Linked DNA regions of Caenorhabditis elegans. The protein of the gene in region 1 interacts with the protein of each later gene in a pairwise test. Each region holds a gene or a part of one and is shown in the gene's direction. Other genes may lie near its edges. The genes, in order: syp-1, syp-3 and syp-2.

Region 1 (6,724 bases):
TGCTTTATAACAATTTACTTTTAATAATATAGTAAATTTTCAGAAATCCGATGTCAATATCACCTCGACAATAACCGGATTGTTTTCATAGTTTATTAAAGTGAGATGATTTACAACTTGTGTTTTTTCGGTTGTTTCACATCAATAATTAGCGAAAACAGGCGGTATTCTTTGATTATCCGACTCTATAATCCCAACAGCCAGTTGCACCCTCACCAAACACACACACACCGCAACAGGGAAGAGGTGTCGGCTCTCTTTGATCCGCCTTCTTACAAGCGGCGACACTGTCTGTCTACGCGCGGTCATTATCGATTTTTCGGGGGCACAATAATATATTTTTTTTTGAATATAATTGTATAATTTTTTCGATTTTAGAATGGCTGGAATTGTGCGGAAGTTCTTCAAAAGTAAGAAAACGAAAAAAGAAGAGCTCTTCGACGACGATGATGATTATGCAGAGGTAAGGGCGAATTTGTTAATAAAAATTATTGAATTTTGCGAAAATCTCCTTTTTGTCACCTCCCAGCAGCCGGAAACTGGCTTTTTGTTTGAAATATTCGCCAAATTTAGCGTTTGCTTATTAAAAACCCGAAAATTTCTGATTTTTTCCAATAAAAACAAGGAAAATTCGAATTTTCCAGTTAAAAATCTATTGAAATCCCTATTTTCCGTTGAAAATCCAAAAAAAATCGGCAAATTTCCGAGAAAAATTCTTTTTTTTTAAACAAGAAACCAGAAAAACCAGGTTTTCCAATAAAATAACTTTAAAAAATTCCAGTTTATCATGTAAAAATCAAGAAATATTCGAATTTTCCGATAAAAAAGCGGAAAATTTCTGATTTTCCCTCTATAAAACCAGAAAATATTGACTTTTTCAAGAAAATTCTTTGTTTTCCTCAAAAAACCTTAAAATCCTGATTTTTCACGGAAGAATCCAGAAAATGTTCAGTTTTAATAAGAAAAATCTAGAAAAATCCGGTTTTTCCACTAAAAAGCGGAAAATTTTTGATTTTCTTCAATGAAAACACAAGGAAAATTCGAATTTTCCAGTTAAAAATCTATTAAAATCCATATTTTCCGCTGAAAACACAAAAAAAGCCAATTTCAGAATAAAATTCAATTTTTTAACAAAAAAAAACGGAAAATCTAGATTTTTCAACGAAAAAATCCAGAAAAACCGGGTTTTCCAATGAAATAACTTTAAAAATTCCAGTTGATCATGTAAAAATCGAGAAATATTCAAATTTCCCGATAAAAAGACAAGAAAAATGGTTAATAGTCAGAAAAATTCCATTACAACAAAAATATACCAAAAAAAATTCGAGTTTTCCAATAAAAAATCAGAAAAATGCCTTTTTTTTCAATTCAAAAGCGCGATACAAATCCAAAAAGCCAAAAAAATGTTTTTTTTTAAATTTTTCTGTAAAATCTGAAAAATTGTATTTTCTCATAAAAAACAACCTGAAATTTTCAATTTTTTAAAATAAAAAACCCAATTTTTTTAAAAAATCAAATATTTTTCAGCTACAACCCGGTCCATCACCAAAACCCTATAGATTTACTGAATCTGAACCTCCTGTTCCACCACCACCACCAACTACAACAACTCCAAAACTTCATCACGATGAAACTCTCGACCTTGACGCGACATTTGATCAACCAAATCTCAAAAGGCGACGAGTTCACCTCGATCGTTCTAGTCCAGAAAATCAATATCCAAGTGAAGATTCGATTTACGAGTTCACCCAATTTACACTACAAAAATGGGAACACGAAGAGTCTCGGCGACAAGAAAAACGGAAAAGAAAGCGAGTTGCTGAGCGAATTGAACGGGAAAATTATGTGCATAATGCTATGGAAAATTTCAATTTAAATATGCCGAGCGTGTCGGATGTGGAGAAGCTTCGCCGAGAACGAGATCAATTTAAGAAGGAAATGGAAAAGTATCGGAGCAAATGTGAGAAGCTTGAGAAGAGATGTGAGCAGTTGGAGATGGAAAAGAAGAATTCGGTGCCAGTTTTTCAGGTAAAAATTTGCAGTGAAATTGGACTATTTTCGCAAATTTTGGCATTAAATCGTCAAAAATTGTATTTTATGATTAAAAAACTATACATTTAGCGATTTTCAGCGAAATTTTGCGATTTTCAGCAAGAATTTTAGCAAATTTGAATGCTAAAAATTAGCAAAAACGGACTAAAATTAAGAATTCCAGCAAAAAAAAACTGCACACTTCTCCTAGAGGGGTACAAAAACTGCGTGAAACCACGCCCATTTTTCTGTGCGGCACTGTTGGTTTTTTTTCGATTTCGACGCAAATTTGTCTTTCTTTGCCGATTTTTTTTTGCGTTTTTGATGTTGAAGAAATTTTAAATTCTTAAAAATACACTTTTCATGTTATTTTCCACTCGGAGAGGGAATTTTGCGTATTTTCAAATTTTTTTTCCTAAAAAACGTCAAAAATACAAAAAAATACCTTCTCCGAGTAAAAATCTACATGAAAAGTGTCACAATTAAAAAAAAATGGATGAAAAATACGAATTTCCTTCGAAATTCAAAAAATTACAAAAGTACGGCACGGAAAAATGGGCGTGTCTTAGCGCCAAGTTCGCGGTAATTCAAATTCCAAAAATTGTCAGAGCAGTTCTGTCGATTTACGCGGCCCGTGTACTCCTCGTGGAGAAGTGTGCATTTGTTTTCAGAAGATCCTGCATTTCTTGGCTTAAACCCCTACGGTAGCCGGTCTCGACACGAAAATTGTTGTAAAGTGCAAAACAAGTATGCGCCTTTAAGGATTACTGTATTTTCAAAATTTCTTCATCGATTTTTCATAGTGTTCCGAATAAATTTTTAAAAATCTAAAATAAAATTCCCATTTTCCGTAAAACTACAGTAATCTTTAAAGGCGCACACCTTTTCAAATTTAACAAAAATTTTAAAAAATCACAAAATTTCACGTCTCGGAAATAAATAAAAATTTTCAGCCATTCAACAGCAATTTCTACTTTGGACCGGCGACAGCTTCAACTCTTCAACCATTCCAACTACAACCTCCGGCTCTTCAATTCACACACTCGTTCAACTTCACCGCATTACCCTCTACTTCTGCACCATTCCCACCGGCTCCTTCTGCTGCTGCTCCAGCACCTTCCCCGTTCAGCCAAATGGGACCTGTTGGACCAATGGCTCCACGATATACTGATCCGATCACCGTGTACGATTACAATGATGATGATGATACTTCGTTGAGTGATCTGTCGAATAGTTCGAAAAGTGATATTTCTGATGATCTCAAGTGAAACATGAATAATCTACTTATAGAAATGTGTGAATATTTTTTTTTGGATTTCCAATGCGTGTAACATTCGTCTTTTTATGTTTTTTTTCAAATTCACAATTAAACAATAAATCATATTACTTGTATTTCGAGGAGCTGGACACAGGGTCTTGACACGACAATTTTAAATATTTACTTACGGACTTTTTTCAATAAATAATTATATTTTCAATGAAAAGCTAATGTTCGAAATCACAAAGGAGCACAACCAATTCAAAATCAGCGCTGATTTTTTGTTCAATTTTCCGTCTTTTTTTCCTGAATTTTACGAAGTTTTCTGCAGTTTTTGTCATGTTTTACAGCAAAAAAACCATATAATCTTGAAAAAAATAGCTGCAACAAAACGCGCTCCATTGACAAAATCTCAAGTTACTGTAGGCAATCTGCAAATTTGCGCCGCGGTGTTTGCGGCCTCCGCTCATATTAAAAAAAATATTTTAAAAATTATTCTTTAAATTTTAAACCGTTTTACAAAGTTTTTTTCTTCATTTTTCAATCTTTTTTCTTCGATTTTTCCAATTTTTAATATAAATTTTTGCCGAAAATGCTTATAAATATTTATTTTCAGGTTTCTGGCAATGGATAACTTCACAATTTGGGTTGACGCTCCCACTGAAGCACTTATTGAGACACCAGTTGATGACCAATCGTCAGGCTTTCTTCGCGATGAGATCATGCTCACACAGCAATACGTTCTTGAGAAGCTTGACGAGCAGACTGAGCAAGATAAAGGCGAGCAAACTGATGAGCAGGCGGCGAAATCTCGCGAGCTGGCTTCTCAAGTTCAAACCGAGTCGCAACGAATGCATGATATAAAGAAGGAGCTTAACGTATTCAAAGAGTCGTGCAAGTCGATCGAATTGCAACTTGTCTCTGTCAAAAGTGAGAAAATGTTCAATTTTTCTTGAAAATCATCACTGAAAATATCCAATTTCAGAAAGCATCCCAGATCGCACCAAGCTACAATCAGGCGAAAAGGAGAAAAGTCTTAATGAAGCGGATTATGAGTTATCCAAATTCGAAGATTTGTTGTCTAGTCGTGAAAGAGAGCTCACTAAGATAATTCAACGCGAACAATCTCGTAATAACGGAGAAGCTAAAAATGAGTGCAAGGTTAGTTATTGAATATTCTTTTTTAAATTATCAATTGAATATTTTCAGAGGCTTCGTGAAATGATCATGGCAGCCAAGCAGAAACATGAAAAATTGGTGGAGCTGAATTCGTCGTGCGCAATGATGCAAGCGAAATACGATGAAATGATAATTCGCCAAGGTATTAAATTCTTCAGTAAATAGAAAATATGAAATGTTCTTCTAAATTTCAGATCAAGACCGAGAAGCGCTCGAAGAGGGAAAACTGAATCTCAAAGCATCAGAGGAGAAGTTGGAGCAAATGAGGGAAGATTGCGTCACACTCCGTTCTCAGCTATTTCAATTCGAAGCAAGCCGTTCGCAAGACAAAACGACTGAAATTGAAAAGGAAATCGAAAAGATCACAGCGGAGACTGCAAAAGTTCGAGTGGAAAATGAACAGCTGAAAGCTTCCCTCTCAAAGATCAAGGAGGATACGAAAATATTAAAATTGAAGTATGAGGCACGTCAACAAGAAGACATCGAGAATAAGAAATTGATTGAAGAGCGCAAAAGATCAATTATCGAACTTCTTCGTCGAAAAATTGCTGAAAAGAAGAAATCAAATACAGTTAAAGGATCAGATCGAAAGAAAATCACCAGTCTCAAAAAAGCAATTGCTAAAGAACAAGAGAAGCTAGAGAAAGGAAAGAAGGAACTGGAGCAGCTCCAATCTTCAAAAACGGAGAGTGATCTTGAAGAAGAGGTTATTCCTTAAATATATAGTACTGTAACCAATAATTTTTTATTGTTCAGATCTCTGCTATGCAGTTGGAAATCAATGACTATGATAAGCAAATCAAGGACGCCGCCAAGGAACACGAGAAGTTGTTCAATCAAGTAATAATAATTTTTGAATTTAATACAGAGTTATTTGTAGACTCAAAATGTGCCCAAAAGAACCAATTTCGCTATGAAACAAGAAAATTTTATTGTGGTTCAAAATTTACCCCATTTTTCGATAGTTTTTTCAACGGAAATTGTTCACTAATTTTTTTTCCATTTTTCAGATTAAAGAACAACGTGCTGCAAACGGCGATCAATTTAACGACACCATCGATATCGTGGAATCCGACTATTCAGATCGAGTAGTTCCGCCGCAGCCAAGTGTAGAAGTTACTCCAGTACACCGACAAGTGTCTCATGATGTATTCTCGGCGCCATTGATGACGAGCACACCACTTACCGCAGCTACCAGACCGTTGAAACGAACTCGTGCGGCCGATCGTCTTAAAACGAGAGCCGAAGCTCATACTGCAGATGTTCGCCGAAAGAGAGGAGGGAAGAAATAATGTGTGTGTGGGGAAGAAACGACTATGTACCATTTCAATCTTGTGCTATTTTTTTTTGTGTTTTTAGAGTTTTATATAAAGTAATTTGCGGCAACGAGAGAGAAAAAACCAGATTTCAATTCTTCTCGAATTGCAGGAAGAATCTTTTTTCAAAAAAACTCCCCGACAAATTGGCCAATTTGAACGGGAATTGTTCTCGCATGTCTTGTCTAAGTTCAAACACTTTTTTTTTTAATTCCCACAGGTCAACACACAATGCACGCCTTCCACTAGACATTCCTCCAATTTTTCCGCCCTTTTAATCTGATTTTTTTTGCAAAGGCGGCGGAAGACTTTATCTACATACTTACCTCAAATGTCTCAACAAAGACAATTGCCCTATTCGGTTATTCTACTTATTTTGGGATTTACTTTTATAATTTACTTAGTTTCTCCCACAACACTCCTCAATCTGTTCTATGGAGAATTTGGTGAGATCTTCGAGCTTCTTGTTTCTCTGAAAAGTACATTTTCTTTAGATCCTTATCTATCGGCGGACCGGAAAGTTGTCGTTTACGAGAAAATGATTGAGGCATTGAGGAATATGGATAAATATTGTAAAGATCGAAGGTTCTATTGCAAACGGCCCGAAACTCGACATGTGGATTGCAGACGGGTCCTTCGAGGGGATAAGGTTGGCAGCCGACATCTTACTGGTTTTTATTTTATTTGTTACTTAGACGTCTGAAACTGAGAATTTACCCCATAACTTACGCTCAAGGGTCTCGCCACGCCGACAACGGGTTACTGTAACGGTTTTATTTATATTTATATTCATGGACTCGACACGATATACAGTTTAAAAAACTAAACGTGGCAAGATTAGACGTTTACGTAATAAATATTAATCACGGAAAACTGTTATAAAGGGCATCTTCAAGTATCTATGTATTATGGATCAGGACATTTGAAAATCGCTGTTTTT
Region 2 (4,299 bases), on another chromosome or scaffold:
CCAGGCAACGAGTTGTGTCAGAAGAGATAATCTGAAGATTTTTTAATTGAACAGAAACTATTGTTTTTCAATTTTTGACAGTGAATTGACTCCAGATAATTCCAACGTTTAGATGAATTTTTTATCACTATAACTTTTAAACACACCTTTCCGACTTTATTTTTCTTCTCGTCCAGAACTTCTGCTCCAATTTTGACTTGACCTTCACATTCAAATGGTAAGATTCGTCGACGGATAACACCTGTCAAAATTTAATTTTTCAAAATCAAATTGAACTAGTTTTGTGGGTTTTACAAAAATTTAATTGACAAGTTACTAAATAAAAAGGAAAGTGAGATTTCACGTCTCCAAATATCTAAATTTAGTTGAAGTAACCTGTATGAGCAGTTCTTGCAGTTAATTCCTGTCCAACATAACATCCTTTATCAAGTGAAACCATATTGAGCAGATCACCGTTTGCCTTAAAAAATAATATTTGAAAATGAACTTTTAGAAATATTTCATTTAAATTGCTTCTGTTGTATTTTTACCTGAAAAGGAAGCAACTCCGCCAATTCTTGAGATCCTTCTGCAATTCCAGCAGATCGTCGCAAATTTTCATATTTTTCTCGATTTTCGCTAACTTCCGATGAAGACGGATTACCGAAAACGCGAGCTCCAAAACCAGAAAATCGAGGATCGCGGTGAGCTAAAATAAAATGTTATTAAAGTTTTGACGTTCATTTTCTACCTTGTTTGTCCGATACATCTTCTGTGAAAAATATTTGATCGGAAGATTCGGTGATTTCAACTTGTTTCCTCAATCGATATTTCAAGATTTCTTTTGTTAAAATAGTTTTATTTTCTTTAGAACATTCCAAGAACAAATCATCAGTTCCTCGTCTCCATAGAAGAACATCTTCAACAATTCTCCCTTTTGTGTTGAGCAAAAAAGCAGCAAGTCCATTTTGAGTTTGAAGTTTTCTGCAAAATAAGATGTAATCATTTTCGCTGTAATTTTTAGAGTATAAAAACATACGTCACATCATTTGTAATTAAACCTTGAAGAAACGCGTTTGTGTCAGAGCCATGAAGTTTCAAAAGAACTCTATGAGGCAATTTAATTAATCTTTGTGTTGACATCTGTAAAAAAGTTTGATAATCACAAGAAAACATATTAAAATATGTTAGAGTAAATTTCGCAACGGGGATGATCATATGGCCGTGCCGAATAATTTCGTCCGCGGCCGCAAGTAGAGCGAGGAAATTTGAAAAAGAAAACAAGCGCTTGGATTAGCAGCAAACTATTTAGGATGAAGCACCAAGTACGTCGCATTGAAAGCTGGGAATAATTATAATTTGCCTAAGCTTGGGACAAACTACACTCAAAATAAAAAAACTGCGTGGCGTGTACTGCAGAAAACCTCATATTTAGGCCCCGCCTTTTTCTCGTCCACTCACGGAGTGGAGGCAAAAATTTGGGGACCAACCAATATCATGCCGCCGACATCCTACGGGTTCCGCGCGCCGCTATGTTTAACTCGCAGCGGGCGGAGACAGCTCGCCACGCCCACAGCGAGTTAATCCTAGCGGCGCGCGGAACCCGTAGGATGTCGGCGGCCTGATATTGGTTGGTCCCCAAATTTTTGCCTTTTGTCCGTGAGTGGACGAGAAAAAGGCGGGGCCTAAAAATGAGGTTTTCTGCAGTACAGGCCACGCAGTTTTTTTATTTTGAGTGTAGGTTGTTGCTTAAATTTAATAAAATTAATTTGAATTAAAAATTGTCGAAGCGAATACATATTTAAAAAATGAATATTTTGTGTGTTTAATGAGTGAATAAAAATAAAACTGTTCATGAAAACATACGGTTTAAAGGCTCACGTTGTTCTTAAGTCATGTGGGTCTCGCAACGATCGCAAACACGCTACGGTTTTTTGTTAATTTTAAATATTTTTATTTTCTATTGTGAATTGGCCATTTCAATATCTCCAATTTCAGAGATAAATGAATTTCGAAAAGCTTGTCAGTCAGGCAGTAAATGGTGACCGATTCAAAATTTTCTGCGGGCAGCTCACTGAGTTCACCAACTCGCTCGCTGGGGAAAGAGGTATGTTTTGAGGCAAACATCAATGAAATATGAATTTAAAAATACATTTTCAGAGGCCATAGAAAAAGGAATGAGGCAAATCGAAACTCAACAGCTTGAAGGTTTGACAGATTGAAAAAGGCTCAACTTTAAAATTTTCTTCAGCCGAAACTTCATTCACCGAGCGAATTGCTGAAGACAGGGTTAAATGTGCTGCTCAACGAGAAAGTCTAGAAAGACAGCTTCAGGATTTGACAGCAACTGACAATAAACTGTCTGAACAGAAAAGAGACTGGGAAGAGAGACAAGAAAAAGCCTATGATGAACTAATGTCTTATTTGGAAAACGAGGATGTGGACAGTGCGGGTACACAGTTCGGAGATCACTTCAATTCATTAATTAAATCGATGAACAACTTGGTAAGTCTGCTCGATAACTTTATAATTTTTAAAAAGAGTGGGTTTCTGAATGTTATATTTTCAGTCACATGATTCGATGAATGGTCAATTCAATTCACTCAAAAACAATCTGGATGAATTAAACATTGAAAGTAAGTTGAAAAAAAATTTTGATGGTATTATCAACTAAACTTGCAGAGAAACAACTAGAAGTCGCCATCGCTGATCAATCATCGACTATTTCTGAAATGATTCCTTCTCTCCGTCCAACATGTGGAGCGACCTACAAAGAGCGCAACACTCTTCGCATTATTTTCCATTATCAAGTTGCCAAACTGCGCAGTGAGTACCAAAAATGTCGTCTACAAGAAGAAGCTCTGAAAGCCCGACTTTCTACATGAATTAAAAGAATCAGAACAGCCAAAATGTGGGCAACTGTTAATCGAACTGTAATGATATTAAAAATTGAATAATCTTTTTTCAAATCGTTCTGTTATCCTAAACTTTCATCATGTCGAATGCTTATCATGTAATATTTAATTTTATTGCATCAACCGTTGTGAAGTTTTAATAAATTATAGTCCTGGATTTCTCGGCCTTCTTGAATTATTGGCCCGAGCGATAGCTTCCGCAAATGTTTTCGGAGGTCCTTCCGGCCAATTGTCCAAGTCCATATCCATAAAATCGCATGTATTCGTTCGAAATACAACTCCAGGCGGTAGAGGGTCTTCTTGAAGTTGTGAAATGGGTGTTCCTTGGATAGTAGATTGAGTCCTAAAGTAAGATGTTCCTATTAATTAAAATTCACAATTTTGGGAATATGAATAACTTTCCCTTTTTCGAAAGTCGTGCTTCAATAATGAGACTAACTTACTTTTCTACTGTGTGGTCCTCTTCTGATCGTTTTCCTGCATTTTCCAAAGATGCCAGCTCAATGATAGAATACTTTTTAGTACACGGCGTAATCGTTTTAAAGTGAAAATGACTGAGAAATTTAAGAATTTCACTTCTTGAAGAGTGGTCGGAATATGGAATTCTAATGATTCCCTCGTCGTCGTTGACACCATTTCCAAACGTATAATAGAGCATCGATATGTCGATTATCACCGAATTTTGAGATATTTCACAACTAAAATAAAGGATTATTTGATGTGTTTAAAAATGGAAAGCCGTACTAGCTTCCTTTTTTGATAACTTTAATATCTCGATACTGTTTCAAAACTCCACAGTTTGATGAAAAGTCTAATAAATCTGAAATAACTTTTCTTTCATCATAAACCATAATGGGTTCATTCAATATTCGAGATATTGCTTGAATCAATTCTTCACGCCCAAGTCTATGCAAGGGAATAACAATATTTTCATGCGGATGTGCTTCAATAGCCTTCAGGAGTCTAAAAAATTAAACTGATTAAAATTTAAATAATAGCGAATTATTAGATTTCTTACATTTTTTCTGCCTCGCATCGTTCAGGAAACGGCATATCCAATGAAAAATAGGTGTTATCCAAATAAATAATTCCAAATTTTATTTCGGTCATCCAATGCAATTGGTTTCCTGGTTTTAGACTTTCCAAAAACATTTTATCTGCTCGAAAATCACCAGTGCACAGAACAGCACCGCCTGCGATTTCTTCAATTTTTGATCCTTCGAATACAAACATAACTGCTCCAGGACAGTGATTCGCATTGACTAGTGTCACTTGAAAACTATCAAATTTGTGAGGGACGTTCTCCTCAAGAGGGTTAATTAGACCGGCTGGGGGTGGAGAATCGGCGGTGTACCTGAATAAGGAAAATATTTTTGAGCCTTAAACTTTAATGATTCAATCACCC
Region 3 (4,796 bases), about 11 Mb from region 1:
ATAATCTTTAAATGGCGACATGACTGTGTGTGTGGTTACGCTTCACTGTTTCAAATAAGCACCCGATGGCTTAATGACTTTCTCTTTCGCTGGCTTCGTTTATTGCGGCTCGATCTTTTCAAGTTACTTTCTATGAATACCGGAAATTCGATATTTGACAGTGAAAACCACTTTTCCATTTATTCATCGTTGCCATCGTTAAAAACAATGTACTGATGGGGAGATAAATGGGGAGAAAACGAGAACGCAAACAGATTATAAAAAATAATTTAAATCTAGAGCAATTTGAGTCCTCCTGTGACCGAATCCACTTGCTCGACAGTTCCAAAAATACCAAGAACAGTTCTTGAACCAGCCGGAATTTGGGTGTAACCAGCATCTTGAACTAGATAGTAATAGCATCCTGCATCCTTGGCCACTTTACACAGATCCATCAGTTGCTCCGTGCTCTGTCCCTTCACGACGATTTTAACCTGACCATGTCTTGTCCACGCGGCGATCGCATTTTGTCCGTTTTCAGAGTTCATAGCTTGACGGTAGACTCCGAGAGTAGCGTGGCCAACTTGTGCAGCAATTTTTCCCGTTCCCATTTTCAAACTCATGTTGGCGACAAGAACCATTTTATGGGTACGTCCGGCTGTAAGAATTAAATTAAAATTTGAATATATTCATGAAAAATTCCTACCAACTGATTGAACAGCTCCCATTTCTTCGTCTGCTTCGTTCTCACTGCTACTCGAATCCTCGTCGAAATCGCTTTCGTTGGAACGTTCAACAATCCAAGCAACTGCCTGAAATATGAGAGACAATTATGAGATCTGTTTAATATACATGAAACATAATTTCATGCGTGTTATTAACATAATTAAAGTTAATGTGTTCTAGCGCAAAACATAAAGAAATAAACGGCACCTGTTCAACGCCGGCGCTATTCGTTCTTTTCAACGCAAGAACTGCAGTGTACTCGTCGAATCCTAAATCGAGAAGATGCGCCAAATACTCGTTGTTAACTTCGTTAGGTTCTTGTGGATCGACTGGATGACTGGATGTCGAACCTTGCTCGTCGTTGCGAAGAATTCCAGGTCTTGAAGTGTCGGATGGTGTGGGAACTGGATCAGATAAAGCTTGACTGGAGATTGAGATTGCAGATGATGGGATCGGCACCTGGAAATTATTTTTTATTATCAGATTATTGAAGCTAGAATTCACAGCCTCCTTGGATGCGCCTTTCAATCATTTCTAGCTCTTGTTTTTTGCTAACTTTCATTTAAAATATGTTCATAAACACATAATGTTACTATTATAATAGTATCTTATAAAAATTATGGTTTTTGTACGAGTATTTTTTACATTAAGGGTTGCTCATTGAAAACATTCTGCAGGTGTTTATTTTTCTTTTATTTAATAGAGAAATATCAGCTTTACCGCGGATATGGATACTCAAATCAATTGAAAATTGTGAAAATATCGGGATTTACAGAAGACAACTACGCGCCGTAATATCGCGCCGAGGAGTCTGTGAGTATATACATACTTCTGGAATTTCTCCGCTGAAAGGATCGTTAATTGGTAAATGCGAGAATGACCGATCCGGCAGGGAGGGTGCGTTGTCGACTGTCACGGACGACGGAGTCGGTGAACCTCTCTCTGCTCGGATTGAAGCGTTATCTGGTTCTGGAGGATTATCAACTCCAAGGTCCTGATGTTGTCCTGGCGCGTTTGGAAGGAGCTCGTTGGGGTCAATGTCGGGGATGTTTTCAGACATTAGATTTCAACTCTCGAACTTTGCGACTAGCTTCTTGTTGCTGCTTTTTGATTAGGTTATAGTCGGTGAGATCTTCAGTATCTCTTGGACCTCGGATGTTTTCCCAGTTGTCCGTGTCAAGTTCAGCGACTTCCTTAAAACTATGTATTTATTAAAGATCTTTTTTTTTTTTCAAAAACCCACTTTATAAACTGACTCGACAGTGACTCCTTCGCGAAGACGCAGACCGCTTCTTGTCAAATCTGACCTCTGCAAACAATAAATTTAGAGTTTAAATGAGAAAAAAAATTAGAAAAGGGTAGAAATCACACGTTAATAGGTTGAGATATTTTCTAGAAACGAAACGCACCAAGAGCTCAAGATTATCGTCTTCTTGCTTGATTTTTCGAAAATCGAATCGGACTTGTTGGAAAAAGTGAAGTCCGTACGCGCTACCCAAGACGATTGCGAAAAATGGAAGCCCGACACGAACAAACTTCAGACGGCTCATAAACGTTTAAACGAACCGCACGACTGAAAGATTTAGAAATTCGAAGAGACATTCATGAACTGTCGCCCTCGTGAGCTAAGTGTATTAATAAATTGTGAAATATCGGAAATAACTCGCGAAAAAGAGCACAAAGAGGGGCAATTGAGAAAGAAAATAAAAATTGGTTTGCGTCCGCGATTCGCTAAACAACATGCGCATGCGTTAGAGCGGAGCGTCGTTACAACAGAGAAATCAAGAAAACAAGTGATCATTCTTGAGATACATGCATGCGAGGCAGCTGTAAACTGAAAGCATTAAAAAGTCTTAAATTATTTCATGATTGAAAAGCAGATGGTTCAATAAACAAATCCTTGAAAACTATTAAATCTGCATTTAAAAATGTACTACTGTAACTTTAAAGGCGCATTACAAAATAATTCCACAGCGTTGCCAGACCAACACATGGAAAATGACCGATACCGTAGTTTTTGTGAATTCTTTACCAAATTCCATTTCGATTCCATTATTCTTTTTTTTTAATTTTAAACTTCGCTTCTGAGAATTTTTGAATGAATTCTGCCCATCGATCTTCGCTCAAAAAGCGGCCAGGACCCCAAGATGACCGGGTAATTGAAGTCTTCTTATTGGTTCACTAAAAATATTGAATCTTTAGAGAGTCAGCTTCGCATCTCCAGTGTCTTCTTCACAGAAAACAGCTGCAGTAACTGTGGCGGCCCAAACTAAACAACCTGCAAAAGCGAAAAATCTTCGAACTATGCATTCCACGCCGAAGAAATCGAAACCTGCTCATGATGTGGCCGATATAATTTCAGTATGATCCAATGTTATTCAGAAAATAAATCAATTAAAATTTATTTCAGCTTGTGAGTAAGCAAAGCGACATATTGGATGACGTTTCTGAAATTGAACACAAAATGATCAAGCAGGCGAAAATGACACAAGATCTGACAATGGAGCTGGCAAATTCAATCGAACGTATCGCAAATATGGCATTAGCCGAAAGTAAACTCAGCGACCAAATGGAGAAACAGTCAAAGAAGCTCATTTCTCTAGAAGGAAAAACAAAAGAGCTCGTCGAGAAAGCCAACAATTGGTCTAAAACACTCGAAAATGTAAGAATTAGATAATTAGTAAATATATATTTAAAAATTTCAGCGCGTTGACGCCAGATCGCATCATTCCACTTGTCTCAATGATGTTCAGGCGGCTATAAAAATAATCAATAATGCAAAAATCAACAACGATGGGTTCTCGGAAGATTTCTCTGCTCATTACGACAAACTTCTGGATTTGGTTGAAACGCTCGAGCCGTGGGCTGACAAGTTATAAATCATCTGTTGTATTCAATTTCCTTGTTTTATTACATGACATGTATCATTTTAATGTTTGTCCATCGTATTGCATGTATTGCTTTCTCAAATATGGGAACTTTTTTTTTTGAAAAAAAAACAATCCAAAATCCATATTTGACCAAAATGAATAAAATTTTGTTTAAAAACTCGCATCACTCAACTTTCACAGAATGCATTACGCCTCCGCCGCATAGGACACAGGACAAAATGAAACGTATGAAACAAAAACTTGAAAAATTTGAATTTCAAAATATCAATTTATGCAAATCCACCAATTGTCCGATGGCGTAGTTTCCTTTTACTCTTTTTGACTGTAACTCGATAAATGTTTCACAAAGTATGAACGGTAAGTTTTTTTTGAATACTTATGCAATTTGTGGAGTAGCGTCTGTGTTTTTTTTTCCCAAAAATAACAGAAAAAATCTTATTATGCCGAATAATAGTGTAAAAAAATTATAGAATTTTTCTAAATTTTTACTGATTTGTAGAAAAAAGTTTGCCAAGAAGATTTTTTTCACGTTTTCCGGCTGTACTTATCGATTTTTGTTTCATTTTTTCTTCGATTATTGATTTTTTTCCCGACAAATTAAAATACAAAACATAGAAAAAAACATGGAAAAATCAACGCGATATCTTATGCGCATGGGTCTCGCCACGCGGATAACGAGTTACTGTATTACGATAACACAAAGTTCTGAAAATGCGTATTGCACAACATATTTGACGCCAAAGATATAATAGCGAAAACTACAGTAATTCTTTAAATGACAACTGTAGCGATTCTGTCGATTTACGGGCTCGATGTTCGAATTTTTTCATCTCAAAACCCTAAATCGACACAAGCACCACAGTAGTCATTTAAGGGATTACTGTAGTTTTCGCTGCGGGATATTTTGCGCGTCAAATATTTTGTGCAATACGCATTTTCTGAATTTTGTGTTCCCGTAATAAAACACGTTGCCCTCGTGGCGAGACCAATGAGATATGGCGACAATGTTTATGTTCAAGCGTATAAGTGATAATACAGCCGAAAAGCGCAAACAAAAATTAAGATTAGGCATCTCATTTGGTCCTTTCGATATATTTTTTTAAAACTGAAACATATGTCATAAAAATTTAGAAAAATAATATTTTTTACAACTTCGGTATACTCAAACTGTTCTATATCATTTAGGGCGAAAAAACTCAC

Evidence for each region.
Region 2: the proteins of syp-1 (region 1) and syp-3 interact in a two-hybrid assay, tested with the Caenorhabditis elegans proteins (one study listed by BioGRID).
Region 3: the proteins of syp-1 (region 1) and syp-2 interact in a two-hybrid assay, tested with the Caenorhabditis elegans proteins (one study listed by BioGRID).

What each region holds. Positions count from the first base shown.
Region 1 is NC_003283.11:16,401,848-16,408,571, forward strand, and holds syp-1 (uncharacterized protein), read left to right. Parts: upstream 1-2,426; 5' UTR 2,427-2,984; coding exon of another isoform or gene 2,985-3,299; 5' UTR 3,300-3,915; coding exon 3,916-4,219; intron 4,220-4,274; coding exon 4,275-4,450; intron 4,451-4,498; coding exon 4,499-4,610; intron 4,611-4,662; coding exon 4,663-5,174; intron 5,175-5,224; coding exon 5,225-5,308; intron 5,309-5,478; coding exon 5,479-5,760; 3' UTR 5,761-5,854; downstream 5,855-6,724. Other genes in the region: F13A7.14 (BZIP domain-containing protein), read left to right, coding at 380-463, 1,528-2,028, 2,985-3,299; F26D2.3 (Core-2/I-Branching enzyme), read left to right, coding at 6,116-6,230, 6,279-6,433.
Region 2 is NC_003279.8:8,661,799-8,666,097, reverse strand, and holds syp-3 (Synaptonemal complex protein 3), read left to right. Parts: upstream 1-1,977; 5' UTR 1,978-1,983; coding exon 1,984-2,086; intron 2,087-2,139; coding exon 2,140-2,187; intron 2,188-2,230; coding exon 2,231-2,484; intron 2,485-2,548; coding exon 2,549-2,615; intron 2,616-2,661; coding exon 2,662-2,864; 3' UTR 2,865-3,038; downstream 3,039-4,299. Other genes in the region: F39H2.3 (Aminomethyltransferase folate-binding domain-containing protein), read right to left, coding at 1-31, 147-241, 376-460, 531-688, 731-963, 1,019-1,122; mrt-1 (5' exonuclease Apollo), read right to left, coding at 3,039-3,237, 3,338-3,592, 3,639-3,857, 3,913-4,248, 4,298-4,299. UniProt on the Caenorhabditis elegans protein: Plays a role in early meiotic events; during prophase I contributes to synaptonemal complex (SC) assembly, synapsis and chiasmata formation and stabilization of homologous chromosomes pairing.
Region 3 is NC_003283.11:5,533,966-5,538,761, forward strand, and holds syp-2 (Biogenesis of lysosome-related organelles complex 1 subunit 1), read left to right. Parts: upstream 1-2,521; 5' UTR 2,522-2,803; coding exon 2,804-2,860; intron 2,861-2,907; coding exon 2,908-3,066; intron 3,067-3,115; coding exon 3,116-3,367; intron 3,368-3,410; coding exon 3,411-3,584; 3' UTR 3,585-3,752; downstream 3,753-4,796. Other genes in the region: C24G6.8 (putative peptidyl-tRNA hydrolase 2), read right to left, coding at 276-637, 686-791, 913-1,164, 1,535-1,765; cox-16 (Cytochrome c oxidase assembly protein COX16 homolog, mitochondrial), read right to left, coding at 1,758-1,898, 1,949-2,014, 2,115-2,255.